Linked DNA regions of Sus scrofa. The protein of the gene in region 2 binds, or shares a complex with, the protein of the main gene of each other region. Links are inferred from orthologs where the notes say so. Each region holds a gene or a part of one and is shown on either strand. Other genes may lie near its edges.

Region 1 (4,140 bases), on a different chromosome or scaffold from region 2:
TTCCTAAATTTGTGTCTTAGAAAAAGTCTTACCCTCTGAAATGTTGAACTCAGGTTACCAGTTTATTGGGAGGTAGCATGTTGTAGCACAAAAACATAGGCTTTGACACCAGGCAGATCTGGATTCAAATTGGGTCTCAATTACCTGCTAGCTACATAGTACAGATTAAGTTACTTATTTAAGTATCAGTCATTATTAAGCAATATGCTTAGGTGTTGTTGTGATGCTTAGAAAATGTATGTAAAAAAAAAAAAGAAGAAAATGTACGTAAAGTAACTAGCATAGAGCCTGGTGCTCACTAAATGTTCAATAAATAATTGCTTCAGAGCTATCTTTATAAGCATTATAAAGGCATTATAAAGGAATACTATACCTCCACCACTTTTCATTTTACTCTGGCTAAAAATGAACCCACTGTCCTTTAGTACAACTCCAAATTTTAGGTCAAACCACTCATGTAGCAAGTATTTACATTTATTTCTATATGTTGTAAATTTTTATGCAAATATCTGACATCACCTTCTTGATTTCAAACTATGGAAGAGCAACAACTTAATCTTAGTATGCTATATTGCCTAGCAGTGATTTTCATGAAGCACACAGCACTCACTTCCAATTGTAAAATTTAAAAATGTAATATGCCTAAATATTTAACATGCTCATTATGATTTCTGACACACTTTGGAAAACTATTGCCACGAAGCTTGGTTGTTGTGGCTATATCTTTACTTACTCTTACACGGCTGTCTAACATAGCTTGATGCCTAGCATAGCAATATCTGTTGAACTGACTTGAATAATATAATTTACAATGTAAATGTTCAATATCTACTGAATTGATGTGAACATAATTAAATTTACAACACCTGAAAGTATCTGATTTTCCCTACCTCTTTCTGTTCTTAAAAATCTTGAACTATTTCTCCTTGAAATACATTAACTATCATACCTTCATTCAGGACGGATCCATAACCGTATCTAACTTAACTCCTTTTCCAGATTCTCTCAATTCCAATATTTCAACCCTATGCTCTAAAAGAACTAGAGAATTTCAAGTAGCTAAGAATCTATGGTTTCTATCTAAATCTAAAAGTTGGACAACTAACTTTTTTGTCTACAATTTTTTCCAGGAACTTTAAAAATCATCCACCCTTTGCCTGTTAAATATCAACAAGCCTAAAATAAATTTTCTTTTGCATAAGAGAGCTCACTGAACTTGTCACTTCAGTCTATTTTCCCTAATTCATGATATTGCCTCCCCTTTCACTGGTGGGAGGAAAGAGAAGCAGATAAGAACCCCCAAAAACTACAGTATAAGCCCTAATATAAGCACCAGACAAGAAGTACATGAAAGTGTCACAGGTTTCACAAACGTGCTGTGTAGATACTTTATAAAAACAATGGTCATCCGCTGATAGTCAAAATCTGCAGTAACTGCTTTCTCTTACGATCATAATTTCAAAATCACGATTAAATTGAGTAAATCCTATTTCCTACCAACCTTTCAGGAGTAGCTTATTACCTAAAATCTGTTCACCAAAAAAAAAACTACCTACATCACTTGCTCCTCTAGGAAATGCTCAATTACTCCAAAGTAAACACCTCATAATATAAATTAAAAAAACATAAAACAAAACACCTCTACCCACTTGTGTGAACCTCTGCATTGCAGCAACAGCTGTAACAGTATAAGGAACCTCCTAGGAGTTATAGAGAACAATTTTTCTTTAAAAGTTAAGGAAAATGACAGTCCCAAATATGAAGGTATATAAACGTCGGGAAAGAGGAGGTATAATTCTCCAACCCTCTGCAGTCAATTTGTGCAACAACCACAGACTGAACTCATCATACAACTGTGACTTCAGATAGCCACAGAAATTAGGAGTACAGATTAGAGAATAGCATCATTTCTTACTGCCGAGAAAAAGAGGGAATTTACCTGAACTGCTTTTCTTCAAGCAAGCTGTTTTTTTTAAGAAGTCACTTCAACAACGGCTTGAGTAAGCTTTCAAGCGAGTAAAGATCATGGGAGGCGCGCTGCTCCCACAGTGACCTACGTATCCAAAACCGGTCCCAATCGATCCTGGGCAACCCCTAAGCGGGTCTGGTTGGAAAGCCTTGCAAAAGATCCCCGACATCTACACACGCATCGCCCAACCCTGGGTCGGAGGAGACAACACCCCTGGAACCCGAGCTAACTACCGAGCCCGAGGACAGATCCAGAGACAGCAAAAGTCGAGAACTACAGCCCAAGACTGAGTCTGAGGTCTAGATTCCCAGGCTCGGGTCGGAGAGAGAAAACCAAATCCGAGAGGCAGCGCGAGTACTTGGGGGAGCTTAAGTGAGGGGTCGGATGGACGGAGGCCCAGCCCATCCTTACTCTAGAGTCCCAACAGCAACAACAGCTCCAGGAACCCCCACCCCGGCTCCGCCCCGCCCACCCCACGGCCCAGCCACCCGCTTCTTCCCGCCCCGCAGGCTCGGCAAAGACCGCGGCGGTCGACAACCCCCTTCCTCGAACCCCGACAGCCCAGCCTGCAGCCCGGAGTCCCAAGCGGGCAGCGGGGGCCCGAGAGCGCCAGCCCCGACGCGGCCCGCGGCCGTCGCAGTCAGCTCCGCCGGCCACTCACCGTCCGCCTGGGCGCTGGGAGCGGGCAGGGCACGGGTCGGCAGGCGCGGACCCCCGGGCTCCCACCTAGGCAGGAGCCCCTCTTCCGAGCCGATCGAGCCTCAGCGGCAGTACCTACAAGGCCTCTCTCCGGCTCGAACTATGGAAAAGCACTTCCGGGGGAGCGGGGAGGGAAGGGTTTTGGCACCGGAACTGCTCACAGGCTGGAGCTGCCGGCGCCTCCCGGGCGGGGCGGGGTGGGGCGGGGCAGAGCCCCTCCCGCCGGCGCCGGCAAATCCGACGCTAACCCTTTCTGCGCCGCGGCCCCTCGATTCTCCAGACTCCCGCTGCCTCCTTCGACGTGTTCCACTCCAGGCACCTGCTTTTGCAGAAGAGGAAACCGAGGCTCGGAGAACTTAGATGCAACGGTCCAGCGCCTACAACCCGCCTCCTGGATCTCTCCAGTATTCTTACCACTCTAATCTGCCTCCTTTAAAAATAATAAGTTAACATATATTGACCGCATACTGCGTGATAGTCGCTGTATAAAGCGCTTTACTCAGTTTAATCATTCCCAAGCCCCTTGAGGTCGGTGCTGTTAGCTACATCTTGCAGAGGAGGAGACCAGTACCAATACAAAAACGGTGGCTCTTTATTTTAACTTGTGTGTATAAATCTCACCTACCCCAACACAAGTTTTAAATTCTTGGGGAGTTCCCGTCGTGGCGCAGTGGTTAACGAATCCGACGAGGAACCATGAGGTTGCGGGTTCGGTCCCCGCCCTTGCTCAATGGGTTAACGATCCAGCGTTGCCGTGAGCTGTGGTGATCCAGCGTTGCCGTGAGCTGTGGTGTAGGTTGCAGACGCGGCTCGGATCCCGCGTTGCTGTGGCTCTGGCGTAGGCCGGTGGCTACAGCTCCGATTCAACCCCTGGCCTGGGAACCTCCATATGCCGCGGGAGCGGCCCAAGAAATAGCAACAACAGCAACAACAACAAAAAGCCAAAAAAAAAAAAAAAAAAAAAAAGAATTATAAATTCTTTAAGGGCAGGAACTAAATTATATTCCTATATTCCATCATCACTTGGAATTTCAATAGAGGTCAAGAGCTTGGGGACTCTGGACTCTTACTGCATGGATCTTGTCGTTTATTTTTATTTTTCCACCCTGGGCGAGTTGCTTGACCTCTCTCAGCTTGTTTCTTTATTTGTAATACAGTTGATGTATTTGATGTGTGTGTATGCATATATATATATATAATCATCTCTGGATTTTTGTAGGAATTCAAAATGAAAATGCTTGATAAGCTGTGGTGTACTAGTATCCACGTAGGACTGGGTAAAAATCAACAATTTTCTTCCCTCATCACTAATAAGAACAATTTTTCCTCTAGTAGAGTCACTTTAGCAGAGGGTAATTTTGAAAACTATGGGTTAGCAACAGGCGATAGAAAAGGTTAGTTAAGGAAATAAAGAGTAGAGGTTTTGGCAAAGGGAAAAATGAAGGTAGGTGAGCCAAAGAATGTCCTTGGGG
Region 2 (3,500 bases):
ACTGGGATAACAGGAAGACGTACTGTGTAATGAGCATCACTGCCTTCTTGTTGACTGTTCGGTGCAGGTGGATTTGCAGTCGTCACCTTTGTCATGAGGCTGCCCAGCGAGCCACACTAGTACAGGCTGTCCAAGCAGCCCCCTGCCCCACAGGCCTCCAAGTTTCTAATTTCCCTCTCCCTCTGCCAAGCCAGCTTGAGTGGCTTTGATTAACTCGGGGCCATTATGGTGAGGAATTCTATTCGAGCATAGGTCCTGATATTCAAATGCAGGGCTCGGCCTCCACAATGGTAGCAGGTGTTTGGGCGAGCAAGGAAGGACACGTCACTGAATAAGAGTGCCCAATGCAGGTAAATCCACAATGACTGTCCCTGCTGTTACTGGGGCTCACACTGAAATTCTCTTGCTGGCCACAGAATGGACACCTGATGCCAGCCATCCATTTCCCAACCCAAACCACTGGTCGGATGGGAACTATTACCACTCCTAGAAAAACAAGGCAGGGTCCCATCAAAGGATGCAACTCAATCATCCCAGGTAAGCAAAACATTGCCATGACCTGGTGTCTCATCCCTGGATGAGAGAGCAGGATTCTGAATCCCAAATGAGTAACAAGGAGTTAGAAAGTATATCTTGTATAGTTCATGAGCCAACCCAACCTAGTTCACCTGCTCACAGATCTGCATGGGTTTTGCCACTGTGACACTTGAGAGAAAAATCATGTGTGTTTATCAGAACAATGCTTGAAATTATTCCTCTGAGAGTTCTCATTCTGGCTCAGTGGTTAACAAACCCAACTAGTATCCGTGAGGACACAGGTTCAATCCCTGGCCTTGCTCAGTGGGTTAAGGATCCAGCATTGCTGTTAGCTATGGTGTAGGTTGCAGACGTGTCTCGGATCCCACATTGCTGTGGCTGTGACACAGGCCAACAGCTGTAGCTCCAATTCGACCCCTAGCCTGGGAACCTCCACATGACTCGGGTGTGGCCCTAAAAAGACCAAAAAAAAAAAAAAAAAAAAAGAGAGAAAGACAGAAATTATTCCTCCCCATCCCACCACCCCAGGAGAAATATGAGTCCCTGTTCCTGGACTTGGCTTTGGCCCTATGACTTGATATGGCCAATGGCATCTAAGCTAAAGAAACTGTGTGCCAATCCTGAATGCAGGTCTTAAGAAGCCCTGTGCAATTTTTGTTGCCCTTGTGTGTTCTGCACTCATCCTAAGAAGCACATCTCCTGTGTGGCCATTGCTTCTTCACCTTGCACCCCAAACCAAAGACACATGGAACAAAACTCCCCAAGCTGACCTACAGACCCATGGGCAAGACTAAATAACTGTGCTGTAAGCCCCTGGGTCTGGGGAGCGGTTTGTCAGATGCATGATTTTGTCAATGGTTGCGTGATGGAGCTTATCTTCTCTCCAGATGGAAAAACATGGGTACTCACCGTCATCGATTCCAGGCCAGCCCATGAAGTGAGCAGAAATCTGTTTCTCATCCTTCCCATACTCATTCTTGGCCACTAACTTGTAGTCCCCATTGTTCATGTGAGTAGGATTATCCAGCTGGAGGCAGCCGTGGTACTCCGTGTGATTGGTAACATGGATTTTAGTACAGATGTATTTGGACTCATTCAAAATTGCCCCGTTATAGAACCACTGAAGCGCTGGTTTGGGGTTGCCTTTCACAGTGAATGGAATGCACCAGTGGTGGTCTGAGGTTGGAGATTCGAGAAATGTGATAGTTGGAGCAACTAAATTGAAAAAGAGAGAGTTAATAGCATCAGAAAGCTCAGAATTCTCCCCATCTCCAGATTTCTGTGTCATCGATAGGGGATTTTATTCAACCACTGTTTGGGTTAAGAAAACACGTGACCGGCAACTCTGGAATCCATCATTCTTTTGTATCATCATCAAGGTTGATTTAACTCCCTACAGAGAGCTTCAGAGAGATTCCTTTCCCTACTGTGCTTAAGACCCAGGCATCAGAGTCATTTTTACATCTAGTCAGTGTGAGAACCAGCTCCAAACAGATCCCAGAGATTTCCAACAGTGCAAAGGGTTCATCTGAAGTGGGCTCTGGTTTCTAATATATATGCCTTGATACTTTGGAGATTAACCATCAAAACACTGAGGGCCACTATTTTCACAGTACTTCACTAAACAATACAAAGAATGACTTTGGAAATCTTGCCTGAAGCCCTGATCTCACATTCCTCATCTAAAACAAATAAAACTGGTCCATGCAATGTTGCTACCGATGTTAATCGATTATTATAGTAAGATCTGATAAACTCACACATTTTTCACAGATTGTCAACAGTAAATTCTCTGTAAATGCATCATTTTTTTTATAGTACAGTCCAGGTTTGCTACAATTCCAGATGCCAATGTTTTGATCATTTAAATGTCTGAGGTCTTAGCTAAACCTGAACAAACTAGAGATTATTTTAACATTAAATACAGAGCACTTCATGCTTAGAGGGAACAAACATTATCAAGTAGCATCTTTAAACAGAGTACTTATCCTAAGTGAAGACATTTGAAATCCCTCCTAAGGGTTTATTTTGATGTGGTCTGACTTGGAGAATTATAAAATCAAGGACTAGAAAAGATCTTGGAGACCTCATAGCATTATTTTTTTTTTTCAGATGAAGAAATCCAAGTGCAATGAGGTTAAATGACTTGGTCAAGGTTACGGAGGGAGGAAAATCTAGAACAAGAATCCAGATCTCCTAGTGCCTAATTCAGTAGTCCTTCCCCTCAGGCATGGCTCCTGCTTGTTCGTGGACATCACACAAGGGGAGGGGTGGTGGGAGAGGGGATCACAGCCTGCTAACAAATACATTCGGAGTGGGGTCACTGCAACCTCTCAGTTGTTCCTACTCTTTCTCACTTATTCTTTCTACTTGGAATCTAAACGTTGAGAGAGACCAATTCTCCAGACCCTGGTGACTACATAGATATTAACCTCAACTAAGAAAATTTTGAGTTGGGGTGCCCTTATTTGTAGGTCTGTGTTACAAACACAGGAGCCATGGTGGGGCAGGAACAAGACCCCCGCCTTCCTCCCACCAGCCCAGGTCCTCACACCCAGATCCCTACGTTTTCCTGCCATCATGCTCAAATGATCTTTTTAGGTGGTGTTAATTTAAGGACATAACCTTGGAAGCTGGTTGCATGTCTGTGGGGATAACATTGACATCAAGCTTCCCAGTGGGTCAAAATGAGGAGAAATTATGAGTCCAGGACCCATTGGGCATCGGGGTAGTACTGAGAGTGACCCAAGGTGGATGATTTCAATCACTCCGACAATTACATCCCAAATGTGTGTTAGGAATGACTGGTAACCACTGTGTCAATATCTTGTCATGTGTGTGATGAATACCCATATTTACACACATGCACACTCATGTTTTTCCCATCCAAATCCTAATCCAAATAGAGTAAAACCTCATTAATTTATACCATGGCAGAATGTGCAACGATGTGAAGACGATGT
Region 3 (3,997 bases), on a different chromosome or scaffold from region 2:
AAATATTGGCTATCATCCTCATCCTCATCCTCAAGTTCATCCAGGAGAACTCCTATTCATCCTTCAAAACCCCAGTGGGTTTCACAATCTATCTTGCCCAGAGTAAGCTCTCAAAATCGGAGAGCTGTGATTTTTGTGACCATTTGCCAATTTCCCAAACGGAGGCCCAGAGCAGCCAGGCCACCCCTGAGGTCTCTCAGCATCCAGCTCTCTTCTTCTTCTGCCTGCCCAGTGCCTGGGCATAGGCCTCAGGCCCGGCCAGTCCGGCTGAGGAGGGTGCAGACGCAGGCGGTGTCGATTCGAATCCATCGCCAGCCCACACGGCCCTGGGCATCAGCAGTCAATGCCCGCACGTAGGACTGCTTGGCCTTACATTCAGACACCCAGTGCCTCCGGTCCACGCCCCGGCAGCCCCCTCCACCCCCACCGGGGCCGTCCTCCCCAGCGCTGTCAGCCTTGCAGCGGGTTTCAAAGAAGTACTGGCGAAGGGGACTGCCACCAGCCGCAGGCACCTCACCCAGCACCTCCACCTCACGCCCACGCAGGTCCACGGCAGTCCGGCGGTCTGTCACCCAGCCGCTGACTGCATCACACACGGCCAGCTCTCCCCGGCGACTTGCTGGTGCTGTCTCGCTCACCCCCCGCCGACTGCGGTTGGCTGGGCTGCCGGCTGGCTCCCCAAAGGCCCCAGCCTCCAGCAGGAAGAGCAGGGGAGGCCCCGCAGGGGTACCCCTGGACAGGGCTACTCGGGGCGACAAGAGGTCCCATTCTGCGGCTGGAAATGGGGGCAGTGGTGAGGGCGGGGAGTAGGGCTCCATGGGGACACTGGGGAGGAGGAAAAGTAGGAGGATGGGGAGGGAGCCTGAGGGGTAGGGGAGCATCTCGCTGAGCACCTGAGGATACAGAGAGGAAACCTGCAGTTAGAGAGGAGGATAGCTTAGTGGAGGGACCGAAGGGAACTCCAAGGGGACCTGCGTGCCACCATCACGGGGAGGCCCTTGTATTGGAGCCCGATATTCTAGGACTTCGATAACGCCCCACTTCCAGATTCATGCTAATTCTTCTTCCATTATTAAGAATGGCCAATAAGCGCTAACATACAGGCTCAGAGAGGTTCGTGGCTTGCCTCAGGTCACGCAGCCAGCGAATGCCAGAGATGGGACTCACAGCCTGTCCAGGCCACTCTACTCTGCCATCCTGCCTCTCTCTAGCTTCCAGGAACCCTAAGCCCGGCAGCCTGGAGGAGGTTCGAGGTTCCAAAATTCTGAGAAAGATCAAGTCCCGGAATCCCAGGGAGACCCACGTTCAGCTTAAAACGGCCACTAAGAAGGCAAGACACTTCCTCTCAGGTGGGGCTTTGGTTTCCCTGTCCGTGAAAACGACCCAAGGCCTGGAGATGCTGGCAGGGGGCGGGGCTTGGATGTTTGCTGTTTCTCTAGAACATTCTGCAAGCCTGTGGGTTCTGGGACAGGGTGGCCCGGAGAGGACTGAAAAGCGGCATCGGGTGGTTACCAGACCTGTCAGCACCTCCTCCGCCTCCGAGCTCCAGGGCTGGGGGCCCCCGGGCTCCGGGGGGCCCCTGTGGGGGACACAGGTGGCCCCCTCCTTCCTGACATCTCAGGAGACACGGAGGGGGCAACCACCTAGGGGAAGAAGGGAACAGGCAGGTTACAGAGGCAAGTGGGGGAGGGGGCCTGAACCCCTGAAAGGTCCCCTTGTGGGTGTTCCTCTTAAAGCAGAGGGTACCCAGACTCAAGGCTGCACCCCCCTCCCAGAGGCCCCTGCCCTGCTCAGGTGATGGCTCCTGGATAGAAAGCAGATGGGGGGAGGAGCACTGAGGGTAGACGCTGAGGATGGAGGCTGGAAAAGATTACAGCCTCCTCGGCCCATTCATCTCTCAGACGGGGCGGGGGCGGAGCCGGCCTGGACACCCGGGTCCCTGAGGGCCCACACTTAAGAAGCCCTGGGTCCCCGGAGGCTGCTTGCTGGAATGTTCTCTCCTCGCAGGACAGGCCAGGGCCCGTCCAAGACTTCTGCTGCACATACCTGGAGTGGCTGCCTGCCCCGGCTGGGAGATGGGGAACCGGGGAAGGCGGAAGTGTGAAGAGGGCCACTCACTGACCCAAGCAGAACCGGGAGTCCGGGTTCCCGGCTGCCTCCGTTCTTAGATCGGCAGACCCGATTCCCGGCTAAGATCGGGAGTCCAGGGCCCCAGCTGCCTCCACCCTTAGGCGTCCAGGCTCTCGCCCCCTCCTCCCTCCGACCCAAGAGCCCCAGGGGCCCCGGCCGCCTCTTCCTTCAGGAGCCCAGGCCCCCAGCTCCCTTCCTCAGATGCAGGAGTCCAGGCCCCTAAATCCTTCTTCCCCAGACCCAGGGGTCCGGCCCCCCAGTGCCCTCCTCCTTCAGATCCCGGAGTTCTGGATTCAAGCCCGTCCTTCCCAGGTAGGCAGAAACGCGGACTCCCAGGCCCGTCCTCCCGCAGAAAGTTAAACTTGGGAGCCCGGACGCCTGAGACGGCGCCGCGGGTGACCGGCTGTCCAGCGGGGACACCTCCCTCCTGCCTCAGTTTCCTCCGCCAAGCCCCGCCCCCGCGGCCCCGCCCCCGCCCCTCCCCACCCGGGGGCCGGGCGACCCGGACACCCGCATCCTGGGGGAGGAGGTGCGCGGAGCCTCTTACCTGGGGCGCCCTCCTCGGTTCCCCCGGCTGCCCCCGGCGCGGCGGCGGCTCCTCCTCCTCCTCCTCCTGCTCCTGCTCGCTGGCTGCAGGGACGCCCGCTCGCCCGCCGGCTCCTCGCTGCACACGCTCCGGAGGGCCCGGGTCGGGGGCGGGGGCGGGGCGGCGCCCGACGGCGGAGGAGGGGCCGGGGGATCCCGCCTCCCACACGCGTGCCGGGACCTCGGAAGCCGGGCCTGGCTCGCTCAGCCCTCGGTCCGCCTCAGTCCCAGGAGGCCAGGCGCCAGCCCCCCTCCTCCCTCCGACCCAGGAGTCCGGGTCCCCAGCCCCCTCCTCCCTCGGCCCCAGGAGTCTGGCTGGACCCCCAGCCCCCTCCCCCCTCCGCCCCAGGGAGCGCAGCCCCCCAGCCCCCTCCTCTCTCACACCCAGGAGTCTGGGCCTGAGATTCCTTTGCGTTCTTTTGCCAGTGAAGTGTCAATCCCGGGCAGATTCCCACCCTCAGCGCTCATCCCCGACTCTCCCAAGAGCTCCGAGCCAGACATTAACCAGCTGGGCTCGGGCAGCGATAAGGCCGGATGCGCCCCAGGAGGAGCCGGGGATGTGGGGGGCTCTCCCACAGCAGCCCTCTCTGCTGGAATTTCCTGGGTGGGGACTGGGGAGAGGGGGCTCGTCCTGAGTTCAGATAAGAGAAACTCAAGGTATTCTAGGGCCCCGAGGTAGACAAAGAGGTGACATGGCAACAGAATGACCTGCTTCGAGGAAGAACGTGCAAAGTGACAGCTGAAGGGAGATGCGGGGGAAGGCAGAGAGATAAGGGAAAAGGGGGACAGATTCCCAGACGAAGAGGGAGACAGAGACCCGAGAGGGAGAGAGACAGAGCGAGACACGGATCCAGACACGCAGCCCCAGAAAAGGGGGAATCCCACAAGCGGGACAGAGACCCAGAGAAAGAGAGACCTTAAGACAGAAGCAGATCAGACGGGAGCTGGCCCTTCACCTCTCCCCCTGCAGCTATTTTCAGGAGGAAAGCTGACACTGCCTTGGCGGCGGGGTGGGGTGGGGTGGGGGGGAAAGGCTCATCCCTACCCCTCCTTCAGCCTAAATATAGCATGGCAAGGTGGCAGGAAGGGTGTCCCCGGATTAGGGTGTTCCCCTCACCTCTCCCCAGTGCCCGCCAAGGCTACATAGAAGGCGGCAGCAGTTGTTTATTGGCCGTGGGGGACGGGCGCCTCCCAGTCTTTGAGTGTCCACTCAGGTCACTTTCCTGAATTCTCCATGCCCCCCCATCCCTGAGCACCCCACATGCCCTACCCCCTACCAGAG

Evidence for each region. The genes of interacting proteins can lie anywhere in the genome.
Region 1: the proteins of NTRK2 (region 2) and FRS2 are in contact, whole or in part, in an NMR structure (PDB 2MFQ), measured with the Homo sapiens proteins. The link is inferred for Sus scrofa from reciprocal best matches to the Homo sapiens genes NTRK2 and FRS2. Residues at the interface, in NP_001018074.1 of Homo sapiens: Pro498, Asp499, Val501, Ile503, Gly504, Met505, Thr506, Lys507, Ile508, Pro509, Val510, Ile511, Glu512, Asn513, Pro514, Gln515, Tyr516, Gly518, Ile519; in NP_001036020.1 of Homo sapiens: Val26, Asp27, Asp28, Asp29, Gly30, Tyr59, Leu60, Cys61, Leu62, Arg63, Arg64, Tyr65, Gly66, Tyr67, Asp68, Ser69, Asn70, Leu71, Phe72, Ser73, Gly77, Arg78, Ile86, Ala88, Lys90, Phe98, Gln102, Met105, Gln106, Ser109.
Region 3: the proteins of NTRK2 (region 2) and NTF4 are in contact, whole or in part, in a crystal structure (PDB 1HCF), measured with the Homo sapiens proteins. The link is inferred for Sus scrofa from reciprocal best matches to the Homo sapiens genes NTRK2 and NTF4. Residues at the interface, in NP_001018074.1 of Homo sapiens: Phe291, Glu293, Thr296, Ser297, Asp298, His299, Cys302, Pro304, Thr306, His335, Val336, His343, Gly344, Cys345, Asn350, Thr352, His353, Met379, Gly380, Trp381, Pro382, Gly383; in NP_001382418.1 of Homo sapiens: Gly81, Val82, Ser83, Glu84, Thr85, Ala86, Ser89, Arg90, Arg91, Gly92, Glu93, Leu94, Ala95, Asp98, Ala99, Ser101, Gly102, Trp103, Thr105, Tyr135, Phe137.

What each region holds. Positions count from the first base shown.
Region 1 is NC_010447.5:33,724,094-33,728,233, reverse strand, and holds the start of FRS2 (fibroblast growth factor receptor substrate 2), read right to left. Parts: upstream 2,801-4,140; 5' UTR 2,631-2,800; intron 2,397-2,630; exon of another isoform or gene 1,940-2,396; intron 1-1,939. UniProt on the Homo sapiens protein: Adapter protein that links activated FGR and NGF receptors to downstream signaling pathways.
Region 2 is NC_010452.4:30,356,838-30,360,337, forward strand, and holds part of NTRK2 (BDNF/NT-3 growth factors receptor), read right to left. Parts: intron 1,753-3,500; coding exon 1,447-1,752; intron 1-1,446. UniProt on the Homo sapiens protein: Receptor tyrosine kinase involved in the development and the maturation of the central and the peripheral nervous systems through regulation of neuron survival, proliferation, migration, differentiation, and synapse formation and plasticity.
Region 3 is NC_010448.4:54,271,293-54,275,289, forward strand, and holds the start of NTF4 (neurotrophin-4 precursor), read right to left. Parts: upstream 2,801-3,997; 5' UTR 2,678-2,800; intron 2,594-2,677; exon of another isoform or gene 2,047-2,593; intron 1,644-2,046; 5' UTR 1,518-1,643; intron 894-1,517; 5' UTR 882-893; coding exon 249-881; 3' UTR 1-248. UniProt on the Homo sapiens protein: Target-derived survival factor for peripheral sensory sympathetic neurons. May promote ameloblast differentiation and subsequent reduction in proliferation of ameloblasts.